Linked DNA regions of Lepisosteus oculatus. The protein of the gene in region 3 purifies or fractionates together with the protein of the main gene of each other region. This does not show direct contact. Links are inferred from orthologs where the notes say so. Each region holds a gene or a part of one and is shown on either strand. Other genes may lie near its edges. The genes, in order: patl1, prmt5, lsm4 and mepcea.

The links.
Region 1: the proteins of lsm4 (region 3) and patl1 purify together in Homo sapiens (co-immunoprecipitation; 4 studies listed by BioGRID and IntAct, with this or other methods). This does not show direct contact. The link is inferred for Lepisosteus oculatus from reciprocal best matches to the Homo sapiens genes LSM4 and PATL1.
Region 2: the proteins of lsm4 (region 3) and prmt5 purify together in Homo sapiens (co-immunoprecipitation; 3 studies listed by BioGRID and IntAct, with this or other methods). This does not show direct contact. The link is inferred for Lepisosteus oculatus from reciprocal best matches to the Homo sapiens genes LSM4 and PRMT5.
Region 4: the proteins of lsm4 (region 3) and mepcea purify together in Homo sapiens (affinity purification with mass spectrometry; 3 studies listed by BioGRID and IntAct, with this or other methods). This does not show direct contact. The link is inferred for Lepisosteus oculatus from reciprocal best matches to the Homo sapiens genes LSM4 and MEPCE.

What each region holds. Positions count from the first base shown.
Region 1 is NC_090701.1:44,819,075-44,826,867, reverse strand, and holds the start of patl1 (protein PAT1 homolog 1), read left to right. Parts: upstream 1-4,742; 5' UTR 4,743-4,825; coding exon 4,826-4,840; intron 4,841-7,793. UniProt on the Homo sapiens protein: RNA-binding protein involved in deadenylation-dependent decapping of mRNAs, leading to the degradation of mRNAs. Acts as a scaffold protein that connects deadenylation and decapping machinery.
Region 2 is NC_090699.1:13,421,579-13,429,222, forward strand, and holds the start of prmt5 (protein arginine N-methyltransferase 5), read right to left. Parts: upstream 3,070-7,644; 5' UTR 2,904-3,069; coding exon 2,806-2,903; intron 484-2,805; coding exon 365-483; intron 1-364. UniProt on the Homo sapiens protein: Arginine methyltransferase that can both catalyze the formation of omega-N monomethylarginine (MMA) and symmetrical dimethylarginine (sDMA), with a preference for the formation of MMA.
Region 3 is NC_090724.1:3,861,236-3,868,799, forward strand, and holds the start of lsm4 (U6 snRNA-associated Sm-like protein LSm4), read right to left. Parts: upstream 3,055-7,564; 5' UTR 2,959-3,054; coding exon 2,956-2,958; intron 1,264-2,955; coding exon 1,222-1,263; intron 534-1,221; coding exon 435-533; intron 1-434. UniProt on the Homo sapiens protein: Plays a role in pre-mRNA splicing as component of the U4/U6-U5 tri-snRNP complex that is involved in spliceosome assembly, and as component of the precatalytic spliceosome (spliceosome B complex).
Region 4 is NC_090698.1:10,420,858-10,428,720, reverse strand, and holds the start of mepcea (7SK snRNA methylphosphate capping enzyme), read right to left. Parts: upstream 3,048-7,863; 5' UTR 2,964-3,047; intron 2,935-2,963; exon of another isoform or gene 2,384-2,934; intron 1,771-2,383; exon of another isoform or gene 1,627-1,770; intron 1,542-1,626; coding exon of another isoform or gene 1,497-1,541; coding exon 1-1,496. Other genes in the region: zinc finger CW-type PWWP domain protein 1-like, read left to right, coding at 6,179-7,003. UniProt on the Homo sapiens protein: S-adenosyl-L-methionine-dependent methyltransferase that adds a methylphosphate cap at the 5'-end of 7SK snRNA (7SK RNA), leading to stabilize it.

The DNA.
Region 1 (7,793 bases), on a different chromosome or scaffold from region 3:
TACAGGAACACTGACAGACAGGTACAGGCACACTGACTGACAGGTACAGGCACACTGACTTACAGGTACAGGCACACTGACAGACAGGTACAGGCACACTGACAGGTACAGGCACACTGACTGACAGGTACAGGCACACTGACTGACAGGTACAGGCACACTGACAGGTACAGGCTCACTGACTGACAGGTACAGGCACACTGACAGACAGGTACAGGCACACTGACAGGTACAGGAACACTGACAGACAGGTACAGGCACACTGACTGACAGGTACAGGCACACTGACAGGTACAGGCACACTGACTGACAGGTACAGGCACACTGACAGGTACAGGCACACTGACTGACAGGTACAGGCACACTGACAGGTACAGGCACACTGACTGACAGGTACAGGCACACTGACAGGTACAGGCACACTGACTGACAGGTACAGGCACACTCACAGGTACAGGCACACTGACAGGTACAGGCACACTGACTGACAGGTACAGGCACACTCACAGGTACAGGCACACTGACAGGTACAGGCACACTGACAGGTACAGGCACACTGACTGACAGGTACAGGCACACTGACAGGTACAGGCACACTGACTGACAGGTACAGGCACACTGACAGGTACAGGCACACTGACTGACAGGTACATACAGGAACACTGACTGACAGGTACAGGCACACTGACTGACAGGTACAGGCACACTGACAGGTACAGGCACACTGACAGACAGGTACAGGCACACTGACAGACAGGTACAGGCACACTGACTGACAGGTACAGGCACACTGACTGACAGGTACAGGAACACTGACAGACAGGTACAGGCACACTGACAGGTACAGGCACACTGACTGACAGGTACAGGCACACTGACTGACAGGTACAGGAACACTGACAGACAGGTACAGGCACACTGACAGACAGGTACACACACACTGACAGGTACGGGCACAGAGGTATACACACACAGACACACTGACAGACATACTTACTGACACCAACAGATGGACAAGCTGACAGACAGGCACACAAACAGGCAGAAAAAGGTCCTGTTCATCTGGATTACTGAAAGAGGAGAAGGGAGATATACCACATCCAAAAGAAACAGAAACTGTTTTTTTAACATTATGGGAATAACAAAGCTGGGAAGGCTGGGAACTGTGCTCTCAGTGACTGCTGGGAAGATAGCAGCTGGTATCTAAATTTGCCTGTATTTTCCATTTCTCGATGTTTCAACATCCAACATGCTAGAAAGCCAATCTAGTTGTGCTTCTCCATAAGTCAACAGCACAAAGCCCTCTTGAAGAGCCTCCATCCCCCTAACTGATGATAGGAAGGGATGGGAATGATGATAATGATGGGGAAGATGGTGGTGATGATGGTAGTGGGGATGAAAATGATGAGGATGATGCTGATGGTGGTAATGAGGATAATGAAGATAATGGGGATGAAGGTCAGGATGATGGGATGGTGATGGTAATGATGATGGTGGTGATGATGGTGATGAAGGTCACGATGATGATGGTGGTGATGTTGATAGAGGAGATGACGGTGATGCTGGATGTTATAGTGATAGTGATGATGATGATGTGATGAAGGTCATGATGATGGTGATGATGACAATGATGATGGGGTGGTGATGATGGTGATGACGTTGATAGGGGTGATGATGATGATGGTGATGATGATAGTAATGGGGGTGATTATGCTAGGGATGATCGTGATTATGGTGATGGTGATCAGGGTCATTATGGGAATGAAGATGATGATGATACTTGTGATGATTATGGGGATGATGATGATGGTTATGATGTAGATGATTATGGAAAAGATGACAATGGTAATGATGGGTGTTAGGGTGATTAAAATGAAGATTACAATAATGGGGATGATGAAGATGATTATAAGAAAGTAGATTTTGGATTACGGTGAAGGGAAAGATGATGGCGATGAAAGAGATTATGATCGAGGTGATGGGGATGGACATTATGGTGTTGGTGGTGATGATGATGAAGTGTTGACAGAAACATCATCTAGAATGCACTTTCTTGTATTTTATATGATAGAAGTTATACAAGTAAGAATTTGTTAGTATTCTGAGAGCAATCCTTCCTTTCTCCTTTCTCTCAGGAAAGGAAAGAGGAGCCTGCAGCCTGGAGATCAAAGCCCTTCTCCCAGTCTGGGATCAGAAACACTCTGTAAACAACAGCACACTTCTTTATTGTGACGCTGTCTGGGGTTGAATAAAATAAAGATCAAATGAAAAATCCTTTTTTTCTGACACTGGCCATGAGGCCATTTTAATTAACCAGCACACACAACTGTACCCCCGGTTACTTTCCTCTTCTCTCATCTCCTGTCCATCTCTGTCAGGCCCGGACTCAAAGGAGTCTCCCTCACTGACAGGTTGGAGAAACTGAGTCTCTTTAGTCTGAAAGGAGTGTTCCAACGATGACAGATTGAAGGGACTGAGTCTCTTTAGCCTGAAGGAAGTGTCCCACAATGACAGGCTGAAGGAACTGAGTCGCTTCAGTATGGAACAGAGAAGACTTACAAGTTGATCTGACCCAAGGATTCAAAATCCCCAAAGACTCAGACAATCTCAATCCACTGGACTTCTTCAGAATCAACACTGAAACACAAACCAGAGGACACAAATGAAAAGTACGTGGAAGTGCTTTTGAAACTGAGATCAGGAGAGGTTTTTTTTCTCAAGGAGAGGTGGGAGTGTAGAACAAGCTGCACAGCCGTGTTGCTGAAGATGAAACTGTGTTTTGTTTTTCTTCAAGAAACAGCTGGGTGGGGTACTTGGATCAATGAACTACTTGCTTCCAAGCAGGCTAGATGGGCTGAGTGCCCTCTTCGTGCTTGTAGCCTGTTTGTTTTCTTGTTTTCTTTACATGTAACAATTATAATGTTCCTCTCTTCTGCATTTGTACTCTGTATGTCTGCTCTGATTTACACACTGCTCCTAATGCACTGTAAATTGTTATTGATTAAATGTTGAATATAAAACCCAAAATGTGTGTGTACACAAGCCTAAAGCACAGAAGCCACAAGTACAATCTGTGAAGAAAATTAATAATATAGTAATAATAACATCAGTTTATTAACCATTTACAATTTCTTGCATTAGGAATTTGTCTTTTCACATACCCCAGCTTGCTCTCCATGAGACACACAGACAGGGAGAGAAGCTTGGGGTCAGAGCGCAGGGTCAGCCATTGTACAGCACTGCTGGAGCAGTTGGGGTGAAGGGCCTTGCTCAGGGGCCCAATGGAGTATGATTCCTCTGCCAGCTGCAGGATTTGAACCAGCACCCTTCCAGCTACAGGCACAGAGCCTTAGCCACAGAGCCACCACTCTGCCCCGAAGGAAATTTAAAGGAAATTGCTTAAATGTGAGCATTGAATACACAGAACTAAAAACACAAGACACAAGACACAAAGCTAACATGTAAAGATCTGAAATAGAATAAAGAAAACCACCTGACTTCAACCTCTGCCTACTAGATCCCTAATGCTGACCACTCCCAAGCACAGTGCATGGACATAGGCCACAGTAACTAATACTGATCTCATGAAATACCTGAATTCATGGTCAAACCACACAACAGTCTTCACCACTGGTCTAACACACAACTACTGACAGGCCTGCTGGACTATGACCCTACAAGACTCTGGGAGACACTGGGAGACTCTGGGAGACACTGGGAGAGACTAGAGACACTGGGAGACTCTTGGAGAGACTGGAGACACTGGGAGACTCTGGGAGTCACTGGAGACACTGGAGACACTGGGAGACTCTGGGAGACACAGGGAGAGACTAGAGACACTGGGAGACTCTGGGAAAGACTGGAAAGACTGGGAAAGACTATAGACACTGGGAGAGACTGGAGACACTGGGAAAGACTATAGACACTGGGAGACTCTGGGACACACTTAGAGAGACCAGAGACAGTGGGAGACTCTGGGAGACACTGGGAGAGACCAGAGACACTGGGTGACTGGGAAAGACTGGAGAGCCTGGGAGACACTGAGAAAGACTGGAGACGCTTGGAGATACTAGAGGCACTGGGAGAGACTGGAGACACTGGAGACTGGAGACTCTGGGACATTTTAGAGACTCTGGGAAATACTAGAGACTCTGGAGGCACTGGGAGAGACTGGAGACACTGGGAGAGACTGGAGGAACTGGGAGATTTGGGAAGCCATTGAACAACTTGGTGACCCAGGAAGATGCTGGGAGTGGAGGCCCTGGGAAAGACTGGAGACACGAGGAGACATGGTGGACTCTGAGACACACTGAGAGACTCTGGAAGAAACTGGACACAAGACTGAAGAAAGATCTCCCAGCTCATGTCAGATCTTACAGCCCTGTCAGCAGCTTCCACAGCCTGCCTTGAAACTCACTGTTGTGCTCTAGGTTTTAGTTCTGTTTCACTTACTGTTAACTTGTTTAAATTTGTGCTCACCTGTCTAGTTGTACAGTGTCTTGAGGTGCTGAACCATGAAAGACACCCTATAAATTAAATGTGCTCCTGATTATTGATAATTGATCATTATGGAGCCTTATGAATGGCAGTGGTGTGTTGAATATCTCAGTTCTTTTTCTCTCCTTGTATTATAACATATATACAACGTTTCTGTCAGATAATTAGAACTGCCATTTGGGAAGTAGCGACGGGCACGCGCTTTCTCGCCCAATCCGACTGTTAGTGCTCGCGCTCGACAACAGGGCAGCATGAGCGCGCCGGACGCAGCTGTGCGTTCGTGCGCGCGGCCCGGCGTGAGCAGCGGCGTCAGGAGCGGTGCGGGTTCATGTTCCGATTTCAGGTACGTTGCTTCTCCAAAAATCGCCTTTCAGGCTTCCGCTGCCTGTAGGATTGTCCGGCATTATGTGGGTATGTCTGCATGGGCTGCGGAGCTCTTTCCGGCGTCCTCTTACTTTGTCTGTGTGGCGCTGTGTGTCGTATCTCCTGGTTGAGGCCTACAAGCCTCGGCGTTTCCTGCTTAATTCTCCCCGCCGAGGGAGCGTCTGCCGGCTCTGGGATGCAGTTGGCCGATCTAGGGTTACGCTTACCTGTTTAGTTTTTTCCGCCACTGTTTCAGCCATATGACATTCAAAACTGTCCCTGTTTATAATCAGCAATGCGATATGTTGGGTTTCTTTTTAAAAAACGACTGGTCTTTGTGACGGATCCACCGTTATAAAGTATCTGACGAGAAAAGCTGTCTCGGTCCCACTCGTGATTACCGGCGAGTCTATCACTGGGGAAGCGTTTTGGAGGGAAATTGCTGCAGATTCTGACCATAAACCTCTCATGAAGAGTGTGAGGCCCAAAGACAAGTACATTTCCTATAGTTTGAGCCCCAGGGTATCTCTGCAGATTACACCCAAAATGGGGAAACTGGTTTTAAAGCCCCTGGAAATTATATATTTTATTTCTCGAGCTGTGCACCAGGATTTGAGTTAGTGAGTTAGCTGCTGAATTAGTGTGGGGACAGGTTGTGAACACTAGTGTTAGTGAGAGATCAGTGTGTATTAGTGTGGAGATGGGCTGTGAACACTAGTGTTAGTGAGAAATCAGTGTGTATTAGTGTGGAGATGGGCTGTGAACACTAGTGTTAGTGAGAAATCAGTGTGTATTAGTGTGGAGATGGGCTGTGAACACTAGTGTTAGTGAGAAATCAGTGTGTATTAGTGTGGAGATGGGCTGTGAACACTAGTGTCAGTGAGAGATCAGTGTGTATTAGTGTGGAGATGGGCTGTGAACACTAGTGACTCAGATTAGTGTAGATATGGGGTGTGAACACTAGTGTCAGTGAGAGATCAGTGTGTATTAGTGTGGAGATGGGGTGTGAACACTAGTGTCAGTGAGAGATCAGTGTGTATTAGTGTGGAGATGGGCTGTGAACCCTAGTGTTAGTGAGAAATCAGTGTGTATTAGTGTAGAGATGGGCTGTGAACCCTAGTGTTAGTGAGAAATCAGTGTGTATTAGTGTGGAGATGGGCTGTGAACACTAGTGACTCCGATGAGTGTAGAGATGGGCTGTGAACACTTGTGTCAGTGAGAGATCAGTGTGTATTAGTGTGGAGATGGGCTGTGAGCACTAGTGTCAGTGAGAGATCAGTGTGTATTAGTGTGGAGATGGGCTGTGAACATTGGGAACAGTGAGAGATTAGTGTGGAGGTACACACTAGTGTATCTAGAGATGAATGTATCTAGAGACTAGTATATCTAGGATGGGCTGTGAACACTGTTGTCAGTAAGAGATCAGTATGTATTAGTGTGGGGATGAGCTGTGAATACTAGTGTCAGTGAAAGATCAACCAAATCAAGTTACTGGTCAAAATGTAATCTTATTTAGACCATAAGACATAAGGTCAGAAGCAAGTGGAGGTCTCTCTGCCCTTCAAGGTTGTGCGGTAGTAGTTAATCGAACCCAGGATCTTGTCTGTGTCCTGGAGGAGGATCTCATCCAGTTCTTTTCTAGAATGAAACCAGGGTATCGGCCTCATCAGCATGGCGGGGCAGCTTGTTCCACACTCCCACCACCCTTTATGTACCGAAGGGCCTCCTATCCTCAGTTTTTAGATTGAGTTCTGTTGTTTTCATTTGGGTCTTTTGGTTTGGACACTCAGTTCCTATTATTGTCTCCTGTCCTCTAGTGTCTTTTTATTCAAGTTCAAAGAGCTTTATTGGCTAATAATGTACAGTGTTCCAAAAGCAGATACAATTCACAGAACATTTACATTTGCACATCATTGGACATTTGCATACATAACATAAAACATTATGGTGAGACAAACTACTCTCTTTTCCCCGGGCTGTGACAGGGGATCACATACTGGGCTGCAGCTCTGTTGAGTTTCCTCCCCCAGTAGGATCAGGAGCTGTTCTTTTTCTGGCAGGTGTGGGGATTCTGGGCTTAGATTTATTTTAAGAATGTTTGTGTAATCCTAGAGTATTTCTCACAGTGCAGCCTTTGTCTCTGCTTCTGACTGCTGGGAGTAAGAGCACAGCCTGTCCTCTCTGGACAGCCAGGTCTGTCTGTGTCCAGGCTGTGGTCACTGAGCCTGTCCTCTCTACACAGCCAGGTCTGTCTGTGTCCAGGCTGTGGTAGCTGAGCCTGTCCTCTCGTAACTCGTAGGTTAGTTGAGCCCTGGGAAAACTGGCCCTGGTGTGAGTGTGTGTGTGTTGTTTCTGTGTGTCTGCTCTGCAAGGGACTGGAGTCCAGGTTGTACCTTGCCTTGTGGATAGACACTGGCTCCCCCATAACCCTGAAGTGGATACAGCAGTTAATGTATTGTTGGGTGTTTTTACATAACTGAGCAGGGCCTTTCCAGGGTGTTTATCCCTGTCTCACTCCTCCCCCATGTGTGGTGATCTCTCTGTGGCGACATTCTCTCACACATGGCTCTGGGCTATGGTGCTTGTTTTCAGAAATGCTGCACAGTTGTTGTGCAGGACTGTTATGCAAAGCTCTACTTCCGCCTGCTCGTAGATTGATAGCAGATGACTCTTCAGATTATGGCCCAGGCTGGGTTCTGCTAGTTCATTGTGGCCAGCTGATTTTCACAATCCACTCTATCGACTATGTTTCTCACATTATCTGACTCTCCTCCCCCTCCTCTCAGTCTGTATCTCTTCCTGTCCTTTGTGACTCTCTGATTTCTGATCTCTGCCACCCTGCTGCTCCTCTCCCCTGGTTCCCAGTTCCTGCGGTGTCTCTCCCCCATCCTGCAGTACTCCTGTTTCACATTCTTACCCTGACCCACTGACCG
Region 2 (7,644 bases), on a different chromosome or scaffold from region 3:
ACACCCCCACTGGACACACACACACACACACACACACACACACACACACAGAACAGACCCCACCACACCCCCACTGGACACACACACACACACACACACACAGAACAGACCCCACCACACCCCCACTGGACACACACACACACACAGAACAGACCCCACCACACCCCCACTGGACACACACACACACACAGAACAGACCCCACCACACCCCCACTGGACACACACACACACCCCACCACACCCCCACTGGACACACACACACACACACCCCACCACACCCCCACTGGACACACACACACACACACACACACACACACACACAGACCCCACCACACCCCCACTGGACACACACACATACTCTCACCTCTTCCTGAAAGCAGCAGGTCAGATCGGGTCTGAGCTCCAGGTCGAGATCGGGCCGGTTCTGCATCAAACTCTCGGCGAAACCGAGGATGAAATATCGGCATGCAGAGGAAATCAAACCTAGAAATGAATACAGACACACTGACTGACTGGACACTCCAGTACATTAACACTGCACTGAGAGAGAGGGGTTCATACAGACACACTGACTGACTGGACACTCCAGTACATTAACACTGCACTGAGAGAGGGATTCATACAGACACACTGACTGGACACTCCAGTACATTAACACTGCACTGAGAGAGAGGGGTTCATACAGACACACTGACTGACTGGACACTCCAGTACATTAACACTGCACTGAGAGAGAGGGGTTCATACAGACACACTGACTGACTGGACACTCCAGTACATTAACACTGCACTGAGAGAGAGGGGTTCATACAGACACACTGACTGACTGGACACTCCAGTACATTAACACTGCACTGAGAGAGAGGGGTTCATACAGACACACTGACTGACTGGACACTCCAGTACATTAACACTGCACTGAGAGAGAGGGGTTCATACAGACACACTGACTGACTGGACACTCCAGTACATTAACACTGCACTGAGAGAGAGGTTCATACAGACACACTGACTGACTGGACACTCCAGTACATTAACACTGCACTGAGAGAGAGGGGTTCATACAGACACACTGACTGACTGGACACTCCAGTACATTAACACTGCACTGAGAGAGAGGGGTTCATACAAACACACTGACTGACTGGACACTCCAGTACATTAACACTGCACTGAGAGAGAGGGGTTCATACAGACACACTGACTGACTGGACACTCCAGTACATTAACACTGCACTGAGAGAGAGGGGTTCATACAGACACACTGACTGACTGGACACTCCAGTACATTAACACTGCACTGAGAGAGAGGGGTTCATACAGACACACTGACTGGACACTCCAGTACATGAACACTGCACTGAGAGAGAGGGGTTCATACAGACACACTGACTGACTGGACACTCCAGTACATTAACACTGCACTGAGAGAGAGGGGTTCATACAGACACACTGACTGACTGGACACTCCAGTACATTAACACTGCACTGAGAGAGAGGGGTTCATACAGACACACTGACTGACTGGACACTCCAGTACATTAACACTGCACTGAGAGAGAGGGGTTCATACAGACACACTGACTGACTGGACACTCCAGTACATTAACACTGCACTGAGAGAGAGGTTCATACAGACACACTGACTGACTGGACACTCCAGTACATTAACACTGCACTGAGAGAGAGGGGTTCATACAGACACACTGACTGACTGGACACTCCAGTACATTAACACTGCACTGAGAGAGAGGGGTTCATACAAACACACTGACTGACTGGACACTCCAGTACATTAACACTGCACTGAGAGAGAGGGGTTCATACAGACACACTGACTGACTGGACACTCCAGTACATTAACACTGCACTGAGAGAGAGGGGTTCATACAGACACACTGACTGACTGGACACTCCAGTACATTAACACTGCACTGAGAGAGAGGGGTTCATACAGACACACTGACTGGACACTCCAGTACATGAACACTGCACTGAGAGAGAGGGGTTCATACAGACACACTGACTGACTGGACACTCCAGTACATGAACACTGCACTGAGAGAGTACCGATGGACTGTTTCACCTGCTCTGTCAGATGAACCCAACTTTATCTGAGAGTAGGGGTTACCCCAGTGTCCTAGTGTCCTGGCCAAATTTCCCCCTGTCCTTTACCAGTCATGGCCTCCTAATAACCCCCCTCTCTGAACTGGCCTCATCACTCTGCTCTCCTCCCCACTGAGAGCTGGAGTGTGTGAGCGGACTGGAGCATCATCACACTGGGGGGGTGGAGGGGATCCCCATTACCTGTAAAGCGCTTTGAGTGGAGTGTCCAGAAAAGCGCTATATAAGTGTAAGCAATTATTATTATTATTAACTTCGCGCGGCGGGTGACGTCACCGCCGCCTGACGTCACACCGACAGCGGTTGAAAAACTCTCGAGAAGCTGCTGCGGATTCCCGGCTTTATGTCCACAGTCCCGGAGCGGGCCGCGCTCACGCCGTTTCCCGTGTGAAACGTCTCCGGCAGCGCTCACGGCATTTAGAAGAAAAGAAAAACGACGAACGTGCTTCCCCGCGTCACACCGGCAGCCGGTATTTACAGGTTGCGAACTAAAGTCGGTCATGTTATCGAGCTGGAAGAGACGGGGCTCGGAGCAGGTCCGGCTGGATCGGAAGGTTCTGGACATGCGAACCCCGACAGAGCGGCCCGGCTCTCACGTGCTGCTGCAGCACCCCACAACCTGCCGCCCCCCCATCCCCCTCCTCAAGAAAGAAACGCACAGCGACCACGGCTGCTCATTACCCGAGTCTAGCGACCGCCGCTAGCGTGTCTGCCACTTCGGGGACGGAGTTAAGATCCCGGCCGCTGGAGACCCGACTCGCCGAACTCACGGACGCCATCTTTACCCCCTGTCTGGCCGACAGACACCGAGACCCACAAGCCCGGCGGAGCGGCGGAAGAGAGGGCTCACTTCGGAAACGGGCGCCATCTTGGCTCCGGCGCTGACTTTGAGTCGCTGTAGAAAAGAACCGCGCTCTGATCCAAAATGGCGGCGCACCGGGATCAGTTTCACGTCCCTTTTCCCCGGTCTCTTAGCAACCGCGTCAGGCGCGGGCACGCACGAGTGAGCGAAGGGCCAATCATTTGCAGGACTGGCTTAGAGTGACAGTTGACTCAGCCAGTGGGAGAGAAGCTAGGGGGGCATGCGATGAAAGGTGGATCCATACAGCCAATCAGCGAACGGAAGGGGAGGGGTACTGTGGGTCGTGGGTTTCGGTGAGACGGGAATTCCGAGATTTCGTAGCGAGACTGCGCGCTGGCAGTATCTTTCCCGCGTGCTCGGCCGAGGCAAGGCTAATTAAGCAATTACTGGAGGCAGGCGCATCATGCAATCAAATTTAGCAGTCTTTAAGGTCCCTTTGTAATTCAGTGAGAGGTTATCTGTGCTGTTAACTGTCGCTTTAGCTGGTAATTAATATTTGAGCAAAATGCATGAGTGTTTTACACTATGGACATGGACACTGTTCTTATTTCAGATTCTTCACGTTCTCCCGACAGGAGCTCGCTGAATTCAGTCGCCTGATGAACTCTCACTCAACAGGGGATTAATTGCTCAGTCCCACCACTGTCTAGCCGTCGGTCACAAAAGCTGATTGTGTTCAAATGACGCCCCCAAAATGTTAATTACTATGCGAATTGGGTGATTCCCCCTAAAACCCGAGTCGCATGAGTAGCGAGGAGGAGCTGGTTTCGCAAGCTGCGGTGCGTCAGCGGTGCCGCCAGGGGGCGGCATGACAGCCCTGAAACCAGGAGACGCAAACTCCGGAAGAACACGGCGCGACGTGAACGAGGTTTCAGTTCCACGGCGATCTCGCTATCTTTGGTGCTCCGTGGAAAGGCGGGCAGGAAAGAAGGACGAAGGACACAATTAACCAGTTATTAAACAATTACCCCAGGCAGTATGTCTTCAGACTGTGGGAGTCGTGTCTCTCTCTCACCTCTCAATTCAGTTCAAGGTGCTTTATTAGCATGACCGATGGGTACAATCAGTGTTGCCAAAGCAAATAAAGATAATAAAATTAACATGAAACAAAACATGAAATCAAATCTACACACATTTACAGCAGAGACATGTCATAAAATATTGACATATACTGTAGGCGGCTGGAGCATTATTGGGAGACGGACTCACTGTTCCTCAGGCTGTGACAGGAGATCACATACTGGGCTGCCAGTTCAACTGAGTTCCCTCCTCCCTCTCCCTGTAGGATTGGGACCCGTTGGGATTCTGGCAGGTGTGGGAACTCTGGGATTAGATTTCTGAATTTGGGGAAGAATGTTTCTCTAATCCCAGAGTATCTGTCACAGTGCAGTAGGAAGTGCACCTCTGTCTCTATTTCTCCCTGCTGGCAGTGGGAGCACAGCCTGTCCTCTCTGGGCAGCCAGGTCTGCCTGTGTCGCCCAGTTTCTATGGCCAGACTGTGGTCTCTGAGCCTGTACTTCGTCAGGGTCTGTTTCTGTTTGTTCTGTTCTCTAGCAGTGCTGTCCTGAGGCTGGCTGGTGTCGGTGTGGCTCAGGTCGGTGAGCCTCAGGACCAGCTGGCTCAGGGGGCTCTGTTTTGGGCTCAGCTCTTGGCTCAGCAGGGCTTTGTGGTGGTAGGAGTTTTGGTCGCTGTTTTTTAGGTGTAACCAATACTTTAATACTCTTTTCTGTATGTTTATCAATAGTGGGTACTGGCCTAATTCGGCCCTGCACCCGTTGTTAGGAGTTTTTCTCTGCACACGGAGGATGTTTCTACAGATCTCCATGTGCAGAGTTTCTGTGGGGTGTTTGTCCCATTGGGTGTAATCCTGGTCTGTGAGGGGACCCCAAACTTCACTGCCGTATAGGGCAATGGGTTGGATTACACTTTCAAATATTTGGAGCCAGATTCTTGTTGGTGGGTTGATGTTGAAGAGCCTCCTTCTTATTGCGTAGAAAGCCCTGAGTGCCTTCTCCCTCAGTGCCTTCACTGCCAGGTCAAAACTCCCGGAAGAGCTGATGGTGAGACCGAGATATGTGTAGCTGGATGTGTGCTCCAATGTGTTGTTGTTCAGTGTGAATTTGTACCTGTTTCCCTGAGGTCTGGCTTTCTTCTGGAAAACCATAACTCGCATGAAACCCACCACATCTATTTTAGATCCCATTCCCACCACTTTATTCCAGTCCTGTTTCTCTTCTCTCTGTCCCATTGTCCTCAATATAATACATGAATCCTTGAGCACCGGCATTGTACCAACGGTCCTCAAAACTGGTGCTATTACCCCAGTGCCAAAGAAGCCTAACATGGCTCTCGACAATCTTAACAACTTTCGCCCCATCTCCAACTTACCCTTTCTCTCTAAAATTCTAGAACGTGCTGTCACACTTCAGTTACATAACCACCTCATGACAAACAACCTTTTCGAACCCCTCCAATCTGGCTTCCGTCAACTTCACAGCACAGAAACCGCCCTAGTCAAAGTCACCAACGATCTCCTAATAGCTTCTGATTCTGGTTCTCTTTCCATACTCATCCTTCTTGATCTCAGTGCTGCCTTTGACACTGTTGACCATAACATCTTGCTTTCTCGTCTCGAGACTATGTTTGGAGTCTCTGACACTGCCCTCAAATGGTTTAAGTCTTACCTCACTGATCGCTGTCACTTTGTCTCTCTCAATGGGTACAGGTCTGAAATTGGTCTTGTCAAGTCTGGTGTCCCTCAGGGCTCAATACTGGGCCCCTTGCTCTTCAGCATTTACATGTTCCCACTTGGTCAGCTTTTAAGATCACATGGCCTCAGCTTTCATTTTTACGCTGACGATACTCAAATATACATCCATACCGAACCCGACACTGATGTGGCTGTCTCTATTCTATCTAATTGCATCTCTGACATAAAAATTTTGATGACTCAAAACTTCCTTCATCTTAACTGTGACAAGACTGAAGTCATGCTTATTGGTACCCCCCATCAACTTCGTAAAGCCAGTCCTGTAACCCTGTCTGTAGATGGCTCTGTACTTGAGCTCCAATCAAAATTGAAAAACCTTGGGGTTATATTCGATTCTGGCTTAACATTCGACCCACATGTACAGCATACTGTCAAAACATCTTTTTTTCACCTTAGAAATATCGCAAGACTACGCCCTATGCTATCATTAACTGTGGCTGAAAAGCTGATCAACATATTTGTATTCTCTCGAATTGACTACTGCAATGCTCTGCTCCCTGGGGTATCTAAATCTACTCTGAACAAGCTGCAGTATGTCCAAAATTCAGCAGCCAGAATCCTGACCAGATCTAGTGCAAGTGTTCACATTACTCCTATCCTGGAGTCCTTGCACTGGCTTCCGGTCAAATTCCGCGTAGACTTTAAAATCCTCATGCTCACCTACAAGGCTTTACATGGCTTGGCACCTCAATACCTGTCTGAACTTTTATCGCCCTACTCCCCACCTCGCAACCTCCGCTCTTCAAATTCTGCCCTCCTTACTGTCCCCCAAGCCCGTCTACATTGTATGGGCGACAGGGCCTTCTCCTGCTATGCCCCCAAGCTCTGGAACTCCTTGCCCAAGGATATTAGAGAGTCACCTTCTCTAAACTCCTTCAAATCCAGACTCAAAACCCTCCTTTTCAGAAAAGCCTTTACTTAACTGGTTCCATTCTTCACCCCTCTGCTCTTCTTAATACCATCTTCCACGGTCTCCTCTATTGTTATTGGTGTATTGTTGTAATTATAATTGTGTCCTGTCTTGTGAAATTTTCTTATTTATTGTTGTAGTCTTCTTATTTATTGTTATTGTCATCCTGTAAAGCGCTTTGAGAAGCCACCTTTAAAGGCGCTATATAAAATAAAGTTTATTATTATTATTATAACTCTGGTCTTGTCCAGATTGACTGTCAGTGCCCAGGTCTGACAGTCCTGCTCCAGCAGTGCCAGGTTCTGCTGCAGCCCCTGTTCTGGGTCCAGATTGACTGTCAGTGCCCAGGTGTGACAGTCCTGCTCCAGCAGTGCCAGGTTCTGCTGCAGCCCCTGTTCTGGGTCCAGATGGGCTGGCAGTGCCTATGTGTGACAGTCCTGCTCCATTAGAGCCAGGTTCTGCTGCAGCCCCTGTTCTGGGTCCAGATGGGCTGGCAGTGCCTATGTGTGACAGTCCTGCTCCAGTAGAGCCAGGTTCTGCTGCAGCCCCTGTTCTGGGTCCAGATTGACTGTCAGTGCCCAGGTGTGACAGTCCTGCTCCAGCAGTGCCAGGTTCTGCTGCAGCCCCTGTTCTGGGTCCAGATGGACTTGCAGTGCCTATGTGTGACAGTCCTGCTCCAGCAGTGCCTATGTGTGACAGTCCTGCTCCAGCAGTGCCAGGTTCTGCTGCAGCCCCTGTTCTGGGTCCAGATGGGCTGGTGGTGCCCAGGTCTGGTTCTGCTGCAGCCCCCCCCTCTCTCTCAGTGCAGTGTTAATGTACTGGAGTGTCCAGTCAGTCAGTGTGTCTGTATGAACCCCTCTCTCTCAGTGCAGTGTTAATGTACTGGAGTGTCCAGTCAGTCAGTGTGTCTGTATGAACCCCTCTCTCTCAGTGCAGTGTTAATGTACTGGAGTGTCCAGTCAGTCAGTGTGTCTGTAT
Region 3 (7,564 bases):
CATTGTTTTTTGTATTTACAGCAGAACCATATATTGGCAATGGAGTCTTCGTTAGGTTCGAAAAACAACTTCTTGTCTTTATCACACCGCTGCAGTTTCACCCAGGGCAATAACTCTCTTAAGCTATATTCTTAAGCTCACTTAAGACACTGATCTCCATCAGGCTTATAAGTCTACTTTGATTTCAGTGAAAACTCTTCCATCTCTTTTCATCAGACCAGAGGAGACCTGAATAACAGTATCAGGATTTTAAAGGGCTTTCCTGAAAAGCTAGTATTTCCTTTTCTAAACATACAGAGCCACCTAGTGGTCAGTACCTTAACTGTACAAATTCAGCTTCTGCAGCACCTATACATCACCACCTGTCACACACTTCGAAAGATTTAACGACATCTCTTTCAAGTCCCGCTACACAGCAATGAGAAAGGTCCTACCCTAGATGTACAGATGACTTCTCTCAGGTTGATGTTCATCCAGTTGTCACAGCTCACTAGGTGACCGTTGTATGTCTCCCCATTCTTCAGCTCCACCAGCTTTGAAACAAGAATAAAAGGGTCAGGATGGGCTCTGAACAGTTAGAAAATACAAGAGCAATACAAAAGAAAAGATCTCATTCAAAAAACAAACGCATAGCACAGCGGACGACAAAGTACAACACATTTTCAAACATTTTTATTATAAAAATGTTGGAATACAAATTATATCCAGTGTGAGAGAGTTTATAATTACTTTTTGATTTACACAGATCTATTGCACAAAAGCACTCGGGGTAAAGTACCTTACTCAAGGGTCTGGCAGCTTTATCACCACTTAGGTTCTGAACACACAACCCTCTAACTCCTTGTCAGGAGTCCAGAGCATTGACCACTACCCCACACTACAGGCCTGGGGATACAGGACCCTTCTCTAAAGCAACAGGCTCATTTGTCTCAATATGACCATGAGAGCTATTTCTTACACTGTTTAAAGCATTTTCTGTCTGTTCAACACATGTAACCATATGATCTCTTGATACTTTTCACCATGATGTTTTTTCATGGTGAAATCATTCAATAGGAAATCATTAAATACAGGAGTAAAACATAGGAAATCAAAAGCTACAGGTGCTGGCAGAAAACTTGAGCGGATAAAACAGTTCTGAGTAAAAGACATTTCATGTCCTTTTTCATTAGGGTGCCCCTGTAATTTTATTAGTGCATTATTTTATGCGCACTTACTTACCATAGGGTGATTCTGAGCAGTCTTCAACAATGACAGTGGCAGCTGGAAAAGCAACAATGGTTTAGGAAAACTTTGTGATATGGATACCAAAAAAATATATTTTTAAGAGCAGAATTAACAAATTCCACTTTCTATGAAATACAGTAGTAATACAAAAGAAAAGACGTGACTCAGAACCCTAAAAGTCTGTTTTTTCAATACACTCGGCCAGCAGCCATATCACTCTGCAACTCCCAGCTGGCAGCCCACTGACGCTCAGCAGGAGTGAGCCTGGCCAGTATCTGGAATGGAGACCTCCTGGGAAAAACTAAGGGTGCTGCTAGAAGAGGTGTTAGTGGGGCCAGAAGGGGGTGCTCACCCTGTGATCCATCTGGGTCTTAATACCCAAGTATAGTGACGGGCACACTATACTGTAAGCAGGCACTGTACTTCTGATGAGACGTAAAACCGAGGTCCTGACTCTCTGTGGTCATTAAAAATCCCAGGGCATTCCGGTTAAAGAGTAGGGTTGTAACCAAATTTCCCATTGGCCCTTACCAATCACGGCCTCCTAATAATCCCCATCTATGAATTGGCTTCATTATTCTGCTCTCCTCCCCACTAATAGTGTTCCAGCGCACTATGGCTGCCGTCGCATCATCCAGGTGGATGCTGCACAGGGAGCCTACATAGTGGAGGGGATCCCCATTACCTGTAAAGCGCTTTGAGTGGAGTGTCCAGAAAAGCGCTATACAAGTGTAAGCAATTATTACTTACAGCAGAAACCTGGTTATCCTTAGAGGACTCCCATCATAAGGCCCAGCCCTGCTCAGTAATAACACTTAGGCTCTTGTACACATTACAGGTGCTGACCACCCCCTTGAAACCTAGATGACATGGAGCTGCCCTCATATCACTTGTGCTAATAACTAACAGGGCCAGAACACAGTGGAAATGCAGTTAGTTATATGCTAACACTGCAAAATGCAGCATCTGGCTTAGCAAAATTAAAGCCAGCTATCCTCAGGTCTAGACCAAGAGTAAGTCTCTTGATATTGTAAATAATTATTTATGCAGAAACCACAAGCTATAACGAAATGTGAATCATATATCCGTTTTTTTAACAGCACTAAAGAGTGATTTAAAGAGATTTTTAAGAGATTTGACTTTCAACGCACTGGTAACAGAATATACGTTTTGACTAATGGTTAACTTGTCTATCCAGAGATTTAACTGTAATTGAAAATCGGTTACATCATGTACTTGGACACGAGATGTTAGAGACATTCAGAGGACCAGTACGAATCTGCTCGTCACACGGGGAAAATGTAAACGCAAACGAGAGACTCAAGAAGAGCTGCAGGCCGTGTAACACACGTGTATAGGTAACATCGCAGGACTCGCATTTCATGTTAAATTGCTGTTGCGGCACGTTGTTTGAGATTTATGTTAACGAATGACAGACATTTAGTTACCTCTGAGCACGAAACTTACGATGAAAACTACCATTTCTGCGACTATGGAATTAACTAAGCGTTTTCCTCTGCAGATAATGTAAAGTTAAGCAATGTACTTGTTAATGCGGGTATACGAGTTAAACCTCTAAGTATCGCATCTACTCGCTGTGAAGGGCGATGTAAACACACGTTTCCGCATTTTAATAATTATCTCCTCCCTTTCCCGTAAAAGTGCCTATAAAAATACCTATAAGTACCTATAAACCCCCAAACCTCGTACACAAAACGCAAAACTCACCATTCTCTTTCTGCTTCCTTTTATAATTTTTGCTTCACTGTGTTAACCCAGCCTGTTAATCATACAACCATGAGGGATAACTGTACTCTCCAATCATACCTCAAAAACGCGAGTGAAGAGTAAAATAAGCCAATCAAAAGGAAGCGAAGGAGGGTTCTTCGTTGGAATGCTATAGTTAGTTTGAGATAACAATTTGCCGCCAATTGATTTGTACAGTTTGCCGTAAAGTATGCTTCTGTCGTAAAAACATGCTCGCATCCTCCTTCTGTTCTGCAGAGTGAACACGCGGAAGAGTATATTACAAAGCTAGCAAAGGAACTTTAGAAAAATATATATTTCAGTGTGAAAAAGAAAGAATATGTAATATATATATATGATGATGGAAGCGATTACCTTTTCTAAAATAATGTATTAAGTGTGTTTTTGACAGACGTAATAGATCTGAAGATGTCCCTACGAAAAATCACATTTGGAGACATCCAGACCCCCATGTGAACATGTGATTTAGGATGTGATATCACACGTAGTCCTCGATATTTAACTAGGCCCTCTGCCAATTCAGTTAAAAGGTCCCCACCAAAACTTCGAGCTCAACAGCTCACATCCCTCGGTTAGCATGACAGCATTAAATTGTTCAGATTTTATTAGTAACGAGTTTAATTAGATTTATCGAAATAATTTAAAGGTGTTTAATAAGGGAACATTAATCATGATTCAGCGAGGCATACAAATCTTCTGCTTTGGAACAACTATGTCCACATATTTTTCTCTTTGTACCTTTGATCTGCTATTAATATTCAATAGTTTTCTATTATTCGTGTTTCCGAACCTATCATCAGAATGCTTATTGTTCTGGTGATAGGCGCATCCTATACAGGACAGGACTACTGATATAGCAATTCCTAATCATTTCATTTCAGCTTGTTTAGAATAAACATTGTCAAATGCACAGCTGTGTAGAGTTGAGGAATGAATTCAGTTATTCTTTAAATTAGGACACAGACCTAAAGCATTTAAATATTTCGTGGCGTTTTTTAAGCGACAGATCGCGCAAATGGCGGCTTCAGTTTTTTCAAGAGCAGCAGACCTGAAATTAAAAATAGGTTCTGTGCCGACGAAATGACAATGAAAAGCAAATTTCGTGAGATTTTTGTTGATAAGGTGAGCCTGATTAATGTCATTGCTGGCCGACATTATCACGCTTTCAGGAGTCAAGTATGGGTTAATGCAGTCTTGTAGGGTGGGCTGCAGGTTACACTCCTAATCTCAAAAGGAGATTTCAGGTTACTAGTGTCAAAGGTTGTATTTAATGTGTTTGCTAGGGATTGGGGTAATTAAAAAAAAAAATACCACGTGAATGAAAGCTTAAGTTATCTTTAAAGAAGACGGAGGAACCCGAAAGAAAACGCACAAAGACTCCATTCATCCTTAGTCCTTATGTGTTGCATGTTTGTGCAGGATGAGAAAAAATCTTTTTCTCCCCGAGATAACGGCGCGTGTGCATGTCGGAGGGCAGTACAGATGACCAGGCTATACTGAATGGGATACGAGTGGTGTCCGTCCACCCCGCCTCATTTTAATTTACACGAAGGTAAGTGTACACATTCCTCACCCTTCGTTACCATCAAAACGGGGGGGAGATCTGTCACAAGTTATATTTAATAGCCAGTGACCATTTTGCAATAGTAGTCGCATTCCCTATATCGTGATTTGTTGCAGTGGCTAGTTGACTATATGGGAGCAGTTCCATCTGGGAGTCTTGTTACCTAAATATCTTTCACATACCTCTACCACATTAGAATATAAATAATACCTTGCACACTGGCTGAGAGACAGAGAGTATTTGGTTGTAGAGAGAGATTTTTGAAGGAAGGATTGATGTTCGATTGGAGTGGATAACCTTTGCCAATATATACAAAAACCTACAGTCATTACCCCCCCTCCATGTTCTGAAACCCTATTTGCCAGCACGCGGTAAGAAAGCATATCTGTGGTTCATTTGTTCTGTTCTGTATATTCTCAAACTCTCCTGTGGCTTGCTGGAAAGGTCACTGTCTATCAGTGCTGTGGCTGCTCCAAGCACCCCAGTAATCAATATTCTGTCCTGAACAAGCTTCTGCACGTTGATCACAGAGTTGGTAATGTTTATCAGTGTTTATTCCACTCCTTATGTCTTATTCCGGTGACTGTTCCATGACCCCATGTGCATATCGTGGCCTTCCTGAAGTTGAGAAATAAACGCCCTTTGAAGAGTTGTATGAATAACTCAAAGATGTCTTCTAAATTTTTAAGACCATTAAAATGCCACTCCTTTGATTAATGAAACGTCAGACTGGTGGATATGTGAGATGTCGGCGAGTTTGCTACTGAGCCTTATTTTAGAGAGCACCCTTTCCATTATCGTAAATACCATAAAAGGTTAATACTGTACCTAAAGCATCCATTTAGGTTATTATTTGTACAAGTAATGTTGCTATTGTAATCAATTTGGTTTTATTGTACAAATGCTAAAAATAGCTTTTTTTTTTTTTAATTGTAAGCACAAAATTATCTCGTTGAAGAAGTGGTTTCCAACCCTGGTGATAAGGGAACCCCGTTTGTTCTGGCTTTTATTCAAGTCGAATATCTTTCAATCCTCTAAATGAGGCAGGTTTTAAAATCATTTTTCAGCCCTTAAAATGTTGGATGGGATTTCTAACTAAGATCACCTTGGGCCAATTGCTGCAAGTCAGAACTCCCACGACTCGTGTGTGTTAGCTGAAATGTAACCAGCTTGACCCCTGCAGGAGACGGACAGAAATTCTCACTGTGGTTGTGTCTGATATAGTGTTCAACACAAACCTTACTTACATAAAACTTGTTCCAAACTGTTTTAACAGAAATACATTAGCCATTTCCTAATGATCTAGTTGAGGACAAACGGCATAAAGTTGCAAACAAATCTATTGCTGGAACAATACGCTTCAAGAAGGGTTTGTTCAAAACAAGGACTGCACACAAAAACAGGTAAAGAAAGGACTGAGCAAACGGGTCAATTAAAGGCATCAACTTGCATCAGTGATGAAACGGCTCAGCTGGAATGAAAACCAGCAGACACAGGAGTAGCTCAGGACCAGGGTTAGCAACAACTGCATTAAAGTATGAACTTTCATCCTCCATCACTCCCTCTTCCAACCTCCTTGTCCAATTCAGAGTGGCAGGGGAGCCCCAGTTTCTTCTGGCAAGCGATGGGGCACAAAGAGACCAGCAGACACCCACACCTGGGCCACTTTCCCTGAAGCCAATTAACCTGCCAGTATGTGTCTGGACGGAGAGAAAACAGGAGTACCTGGAGGTAATCCATGCAAACATGGGGATTATATTCTATCCATATTCAGTGATTAAAAATATTGCTTTTTTTTTTAATAGGAAGACGGTAGCTCCCTACAGTATAGCTGTGGTCCAGACCCAAGTTCATTAATTAAATCATTACTAAACCTGAATCATTTACTTTCTAAATACCACCCAGTGACCTGGGGCTTCTTGGGAAAACATGAGCAATCGACACCAGAGCATGTGAGATCTCGATTATAAAAAATATTGGTTTTTTTTTTTGCCCGCTTTATTACACTTTGTGGGGGGGTCCTCCTTTAGGACAAATTAGGAATCGGCAAGTGATTTAAGCCAAAACCTTTAGAGCTAATATTGTAATGCATGAACCTGACATTTAGATGTGATTCACTGTCTCCTACCCATCCAGGGCCAGTTTGTGTGATCACTGGAATGGGAGATGAGAATGATTTGTGTTCTCATTAATAAAAACATACAAAAAAAAGTTCACATCTGTTAGAGACTGGAAGCAAAGCGAGTATATTTCACGGTCAGCAGTCCCCTTGGTTACAATTTCTTTCCCTAAAGAACACACCAACTTTCCTGCCTTAGTAAAATATAAAAACCTTTTGCTGCCTTTAATTATCACATATGTATGTATATATGCATGTAATTACCCATATGCTATTATACAGTATATTGCTATCAATGTAATCATACAGAACTTAATTCTGAATTCATACTTGGCTACAATCGCACATCTTGCTTTACCCTGGGAAAATGGCAAAAAAGTGCAAAGTGCCAATCAAATGTGAGAAAAGATTATTGTAAAAGCAGATCAGTCATTGTTGCACGGATTTAGTCCTTCTGCCCAGGCTTGTTTGCAAATGCCGTTGTGAGGAATGGCTCTCCCCAGACTTCTTTATATCATGTCTGTGTGTTATACATGTTGTGTGACCACAGTTGTTCTTTATAGTTGTTCAGGTTGTTGCTAGTCTACCCAACTTAGCAGAATTTGCTTTCCTGCCTGTGAAGAAATGCAACTGCAGGCACTTTTACAACAGTCCGACCAGGTTGTATTAATCCTGGCTTGCCATTTCCTGTCTGTTTGACACCATGTGATACAAGGGCAGTTTTACCCAAGTGCCTTTCACCTGTCTCCCCCGAACCTGGAGTCCCCAGTTCCTGCAGCTGTTAGTGGCACCTTTCATTTCGCATCTGGTTAAGGTGATTGCAATTGTTCTGCACTTAATTGGTTCAATTAAATCATTACGGTCTGAGAGGTAATGAAAACCAGGAG
Region 4 (7,863 bases), on a different chromosome or scaffold from region 3:
CTGCGCCGCTGCCGCGCCTCCTCGGCCGCCAGCTCGGACAGGTAGTGCCGGACGTTCTGCCGCGCGGCGTGCACCAGCGCGCCGTCGATGTCCAGGCCGGTGACGCGGGCCGGCTGCCAGTTCTTGGCGAGGGTCAGCGTCAGGTGGCCCGTGTTGCAGCCCAGGTCCAGCACGGCCTTGCCCCGGAACCACTCGGGCCGCAGCACCCTGACGCGCGGGTCCTCGCTCCAGCCAGGGTTGCGGTAGCCGTAGTACTTGTTGTAGTTTCCGTACTGGAACTTGCGCTGCTGCTGCTGCTGCTGCTGCTGGCGGCGCCGCCGGTGCGTCCCGGCGCCCCCGCGGGCGCACGAGGCCGAGGCGGCGCTGCCCGGCGCCCCCATCCCGCCGGCGCCCCCGCCCACGGGGGTCTGGAAGGTTTGGGCTTGCTGCCGGGCCGCCCGCCCCTTCTCCGGGGTGACCTTGCGGCCGCCCGCGGCGGGGCCCGGCCCGGCGGCGGCCGAGGAGGAGTCGGACTTGCTGGACGTGCGCCGGCGCTTGCGGTGCCTCGCCGGGCAGGAGGGCGGCGCCGCCGAGCCCGGGGGGGCCGAGGCGCAGGAGGAGGGGTCGGCCGCGCTGGGCGGCAGGATGGGCTGCACCACCTCGTCGCGGCAGTTGATGGAGGTGTTGAGCTCGTAGGGCCGCGGGGACTCCGGCACGGGCGTGAGGCCGGCCCCGGGCGCGGCGCCCTCGGCGGGGGCCTGCGGGACCGCGCTCCCGGGCACGGAGGAGGACAGCGCCGCCCCGGCGCCCCGGCCCTCGCGCAGGGCGCCCGCCCGGCCCGGCTCGGCGGGGTCCGGCTGCGTGGAGACGCCCCCCCCGCCGCCGCCGCCGCCGCCGCCTCCGCCGTGGTGCCGGTGCCGGTGCCGCTTGCGGCCCCCGCCGCCCGTCTTCATGGGCGACACCAGCAGGCCGGTCTCTCCGCCGGCGCAGTTCAGGTTGAGCGGGTCGGTGATGTCCTTGGGGATCAGGATCTCCACCGGGTCGCGGCTCTTGGCGGGCAGCGGGGAGGACTTGGGCGTCTCGGCGTTCAGCGCGCGGTTCACCTCCTCGTCCAGCAGGCTGTTGAGGTTCAGGGGGTCGAAGATGTTGCCCCCCAGGAGGAAGTTGGTGGGCAGCACGGGGTCGCTCTCCGAGTTGGCGCGCCGCCGCCTCTTGCTGAAGCCGGGGTGCTTGAACCCCACGTTCACGCTGTTCCTGCGCTTGAAGGCCTTCTGCTGCTGCTGCTGCTGCTGCTGCTGCTGCTGGAGCCCGTTCTTGGGCCTGGCGGCGCCGCAATCCCGGCCCGGCTGCTCCGCCGGCTCCGTGCCCGCTTGGGCGGCGGCGCCCCCCTGCGGGCGGGGGGCGCTGCTGCGGTCGCCGGCGCACTCCCCCTCCGGCTGCGCGCGGCGCTGGGGCTGGTCCTGGGGCCCGCTGGCGCCCAGCCCGGCCGGCTCCTTGTCCACCGACATCTCGATCATCTCCTGCTGGGCCCCGGGGCGACGCCGGCGGCACTGCGCATGGACCTGCGGAGCAGACACAGGGGGGCGAGAGTCAGCGCGGCACGGCGGCGGGGAGCACCGCGTCTCCCACCCCTCCCATCCCGCTCACCTCATAGGCCGCCCGACGATCGCTCTAGCCCCTCTCACCTCTACAACAACTCCCCCCCCAGCCTCCTCTGGCCTTGAGAGCACCAGCACACTTTCCCCGACAAAGACGTGTTTCACAGAAACCAGGCAGCCAAGCAGCCCGTCCCTGCAGAAAACAGAATTCCTTCAGCGGCTGACAAACGTCTTTCTTTTGTTTTTTTAGTCCTCGGCACTAGGAGCTGCTTGGCTTTGCGAATGAGCTGCCGAGTCTCTTGTCCATGTGCTTTGTGGTAGCAGCAAAGCAGGAAAAAAAAAACGTTGTCTATTCGTCCGGCAGCGTCAGCCCACCCTCTCCCGTGCGTGCCCCTGCGTGCTCCCGCCCCCTCCCGGCAGCGAGGAAGAGATTTGCATAGCCACGCCCCCGCGTCGCCAAACGTCCCCCCGCGCTCATGAATAATTCATGAGACATAGGAGCTCTATGGAGGCAAGAAAAAAAGCGCACACATACACACACACACGGAGACACAGATACACACATACACGCAGCCTGGTCGCCGTATTCTCCGCCTTCCCGTTTGCTGAAGCTGCACCCCCAACTTTCCCTCCCCCGAGTTTTTTTAGTAAGTCAATCGGAAAAATTAAATCCACCCAACAACTGACTTGGCGAGAGACATTTTTTTTTCTGGATCGTGCCCGCAAGTTTTGTTTTTTCTTAAATATATATTTATACATTAAAAGTACCACACGAAATCAAAAAGTATGAAATCTGCAAGACCCACCCCCTCCAAGAAATCAGTTTTCGTCTGAACTGAATTATTTAAAAAACAAAAAAACAATTTTTTTGTTTGAACTCGCAGTCAGTGTGTGTGTGAGTGTCAGTGAGCTCTCTCTCGCTGGACCCCCCTCTCGCGGCTCTAATCAGCGAGACTAGCTCGAGCTGCTGGATCTCGCGCTGCGTTTTGGCGTCTCCTCGAGCTTTATATGTCTCTCGTGTAGCCCAGGAAAAAAAGACCGGCAGCCACGCCAGCCAATCAGAGGAGGAAATACCTCCCCGCCTTTCTTCGTCTGACCAATAGGAAGGAACGGGGGGAGAGGCGTAACGACTAACCTCGTCTCTTCCTCCCCCCTTTTCCCTGTAGGTCTCTAGTACAGTGCCTGACAAAAATACATTTCCCACAAGGGCTGGACGCTATTTTTATAAACCAACGCCCTAATATGCGAAAAACAAATGAAAATAATTTCACTGCGTCTCGGCTGACTTTCAGCGTTGGCCTGTTTTTTTTTAATTACAACCGACAGCACTTTTTCTCCCTGTTCAGACAGGAAACCGCCGCGGCCACCCCAACCCGTGTAAACAACCTGGTGTTTCACTGCCGCCGGAACGAATCTCGCTCTTTCTCCGGCACAGCCGCACCCACACAAAGGACGATAAAATGCTCGCACGCTGAATAGTGTGATGTGTCTTCGAGAAAGAAAGTCGTAGCGGTTAAAACGCGGTCCCCGCCCCCTCCCCCTTCCACCGCTTCCCCTCCCCCCCAGCACTCGGCGCTTGCCTGCGACAGCACGTGAGGCAGGTCCTCGAGCCTTCCGTGGAGGATTCTGGGACATGTAGTTTTCCCAGTCGCGACAGTCCACTCCAGACGGTTTCGCGACTGGAGAGCTTCTTCCTAAACGCGCACAGTGAAGCGCAAGGCGTGTTATAAACGCACCTCTTTCCACTGACGTCTTCTTAAGCACGTCAGTCTTTTACCCTCTGATGACCGTCTTCGAGTTACAAAGCTCACCACAGCGAATTCACCGTGAAGAACTAACGTTGTTCAGTGACCCCGTGGTTCACGCAGCGGCATCTACACGACTAGATGCTTGCAAAATCCAGCCGCCCCCCCCCCCTTCGTTCGATACAACGTTATTCACTCCTCCACTTCATTTTATTACAATAAAGCCACCCGCAGTGGAGCGTTTTAGAACTGTCCCCTGCGCACAGGTGCCGGCTGAGTGACAGAGGTCAGTCCTCTCTCGTGTGATGTTCCCACCCGCGGGCCCGGGCTGGACCGACTTCACGCCTCCAGGCCCCCGTGTCGCCCGAACGGCGCACACGTTCCCACGAAGCGTTAACCAGGAGTAAGCGCCCCTCGCACCACCCAGGCAACGTACACAATAAATCGAGTGGCCTGTGGTCTGTCGCAGTTTCGGCCTCCCTTGTCCATTAATCCCGGTTCGGCGGAGATTTTTAACCAGGTGCGGCACATAACCCCCTTCCACAGCCCCGCGAACACCAGCAGTGAGTTACTGTGATGTGTTGCTGCTACTGACCTCCGTTTCCATCGCGTTCCTTGAACACACAGGCGCCCGGAGTGCACAAATCCTGTCGCAACACGCGAAGCACAGGAGTCGGGAAACCAGCGAACCGGTTGTCAGCCAGTGCTGGATAAAATCCGAGGAGGCAGAACAGGTAAATAAGAATAGGCCAGTTGGCAGCATCCATAAAGATAACTGGTAAGAATGTGTCCACAAACACCACTCGTTGAGGTAAATTCATTACAGATTAACGTGGTTTAGTCGTCGTTCTGGCGCTCTTCTGACGTCATGATACATCGTTAACAGCTGGAACAGCATTTCTTGTATATTTTCTCCCGCTTTGTGATATTCTTTCTTTACAACGATAACAGAGTACAGTAATAACCCTCAGACGTCAGGCCTACGTGCAAAGAAATAACATTGAAATAAATGCTAGTATTTCCATGTAAACGTGCCACTCGCCTGCTATTTCAACTACACTGACTCCGTTGGCGAGGGCAAGTGAACGAGTAACCGTAGTGCTGAGGAGCCGAGGACTGTGGCATTTTTTTGATCCCTTGCATACATGATATAACCGCTCTTTTGTAGAGTGTTTTTACACAATGTATTATTCCGTATTGTGTTAGATCTTAGATCTGGCTCGAGACCGCCCTCGGCCCAGCGTGCTCGGAGGGCGGCAAGGCGCGCGAGACCTACCCCGTTGCCCGCGCCAGTCCTCGCCTCGCTGCCCCTAAAAAACGGCTCTAAAACTTGTGACGAATTTTGTTCAGCTTTGTGTTCTCCATCTCCGAGTTTTACTTGTTAAGACAGAAACCTGGCGGTTTTGTGGAGAATGGACGAAGGAAAAGGTAAAAAAAGGAGCGTTTTTTCTCTTTTAATCTTGTTCCAGCCTGGGTAGGCAAGGCCCGGTCCAGCTGTGGGATTTCCGTCACGGTACCCGCGACCGGTGTTACTTGGGACCAATGACTTTTTTATGAATTTATTCTACATTTGCTTGTGTTCTGTTCACATTTTCCCGAGTTTTTATTTTAAAGATGTGATACCCCTCTTTGAACGGATAACATGTTACTTTCAGTCGCTTTTCCCAACCAATGTACAAACCTTATCGCCATTGGTTCTTTAGTTTTCTTTTAAAATGTAAAGAAATGGATGAGATCGCAAGTAAATGAATACACTTCATAAATCCGAAGTCATTGTTTTCAGTAAAAGAAACAACAGTTTCTATCCACCGTACAGAAAATGTGATTCGATTACATTTGACTGCAATTTAACATACAGATCGTCAATCTGTCTTCGATGTGAATTACATAGACAATTGGGGCTTTAATTATTTAAATCTTTCCTTTTTCGGGTGTCTGGTCTGGAAGGAAATTGACAGTACGTTTTAACAATGTTTATATGAGACCCACCACCAAATATTGTACATTGAGGTTTAATAATATTGGAAACCTGGTTGAGAACCTTTCAAAAACCAAATTATTACAAATCTCAAGTGACTCCCTAAAGTAAATGTGGGTAAATTATGTAAAACACATACATAATTCAAAGACCTGCACGTGTCTGAGACCAAGGTTGTGTATGTGAGACTGCAAGCGTGAATGTGTTACTTAAGAGTGTGTGAGTCCTTGAGAGTCTGTCTGTGGGTGTGTGTGAGTCTTGATAGTGTGTCTGGGTTGTGTGTGAGTCATGAGAGTATGTCTGGGGTGTGTGTGTGAATCTTGAGAGTGTATTTGGGTGTGGGTGAGTCCTGAGAGTGTGTCTTGATGAACTCACCTACTGTGTTTTCTCAAATAAGGCGACAGTGGTGCAGTGGTTAGCGCTGAAGCCCAGTAGCACTGGGGCCCAGGCTGCTATCTGTGTGGAGTTTGCGTGTTCTCCCTGTGTTTGCGTGGGTTTCCTCCCACAGTCCAAAGCCATGCTGGCAGGTTCATTGACTTCTGGGAACACTGGCGCTGGTGTGAGTGTCTGTGTGTGTACCCTTTGCACAAAGGGTGGTGGGAGTGTGGATCAAGCTGTCCAGATGTGTTGCTAAAGCCGATATCCAGGGCCCTTTCATGAAACAGCTGGACAAGATCTTGGCATCGATTGGCTACCAACTAGCAAACCTGGCACATGTGCCAACAGGCCTGCTCTCGCCTGCCACCTTCCTCCTGTGCTTCAAGAGTGATTCCTGAAATCTGACAGCGAGTCCTCCGGCAGCTTGTCCAGCCGGCGTTCTTGGATTTAAGCACGACAGCGTTTCAGATGTGTGTGTCCCTAGTTTATGTCCCATCAGTATGTCTTTGTGTTGTGCAGAGAAGCTGAAGATGAAGAAGCCAAAGTTCGCTCCCCCAGTCGCCCTGGGTGGGCCGGGCGACGGACAGGGGAAAGGGCCGCAGGAGGAGAGGGGAGCAGGAGTGAGGGAGAGGGAAAAGGCGGCGGGGTCGAGAGGAAGGCCATGTCGGAAGGCCGGCGAGGAGAGCCCGGGACGGGGAATCGGAGCAGGGAGAAGCGCAGGAGAGGAATCCACGGAGGTGTTGGGAAAGGGGCCGATTCCTCGGACGGGGAAGAGCAGGTCAGCGGCTGCGGGCGGCAAGAGGCCCGAGGAGCGGAGCCTGAGGGTGCCGGGGCTGGAGGGCCAGGCAAGGGAGCTCCTGGGGCCTGGGAGGACAGGGGGGGAGAGAAGGAGGAAGGGGAAGGCTGTAGGCCCCGGTGGAGGTTCGGGAAGGGGAGAGGGGTGGGAGGAGAAGACCCTCCGGGGGGAAGAGGAGGAGGGCACTGCGCGGCCAGGCCCAGCTGGGATAAAGGAGAGCCTGGCAGGCTGCACGGGTGGAAAGGGCTGGGCGGGATTGCAGCCCGGAGGCAAGAGAGCGGGAGCCGCAGAGCCGAGCGGGAGGAAGAAGGACAGAGTGGGCGGCCAGCGCGGAGACAGGCCACTGCCCGGAGGGACGGGCTCTGTCCTGAAAGAGGGAGCAAAGGAGGGAGACCGGCCCAAAAGCGACAAGAAGAAACCAAAGATGAAAACTGGGGAGTCAGACCAGGAGCCTGAGGAGAAACCTAGAGGCCTACCTGTCTGGAGGACAACAGGGGAAGAGAGGGCAGGGACCCCAAAAAACAGCAAGGTAACAGAGGGGTGAGAGAAGAGTGTGGGTTAGAGAGGGGGTGAGAGAGGAGTGTGGGTTAGAGAGGGGGTGAAGGAGGGTGGGTGAGAGAGGAGTGTGGGTTAGAGACGGGGTGAGAGGGGAGTGTGGGGGTGAGAGAGGAGTGTGGGTTAGAGAGGGGGTGAGGGAGGGTGGGGTGAGAGAGGAGTGTGGGTTAGAGACGGGGTGAGAGAGGAGTGTGGGGGTGAGAGAAGAGTGTGGGTTAGAGAGGGGGTGAGAGGAGTGTGGGTTAGAGAGGGGGTGAGAGAGGAGTGTGGGGGTGAGAGAAGAGTGTGGGTTAGAGAGGGGGTGAGAGAGGAGTGTGGGTTAGAGAGGGGGTGAGGGAGGGTGGGGTGAGAGAGGAGTGTGGGTTAGAGACGGGGTGAGAGAGGAGTGTGGGTTAGAGAGCGGGTGAGAGAGGAGTGTGGGTTAGAGAGGGGGTGAGAGAGGAGTGTGGGGGTGAGAGAGGAGTGTGGGTTAGAGACGGGGTGAGAGAGGAGTGTGGGGGTGAGAGAAGAGTGTGGGTTAGAGAGGGGGTGAGAGAGGAGTGTGGGTTAGAGAGGGGGTGAAGGAGGGTGGGTGAGAGAGGAGTGTGGGTTAGAGACGGGGTGAGAGAGGAGTGTGGGGGTGAGAGAAGAGTGTGGGTTAGAGAGGGGGTGAGAGAGGAGTGTGGGTTAGAGAGGGGGTGAGAGAGGAGTGTGGGGGTGAGAGAAGAGTGTGGGTTAGAGAGGGGGTGAGAGAGGAGTGTGGGTTAGAGAGGGGGTGAAGGAGGAGTGTGGGGGTGAGAGAAGAGTGTGGGTTAGAGAGGGGGTGAGAGAGGAGTGTGGGTTAGAGAGGGGGTG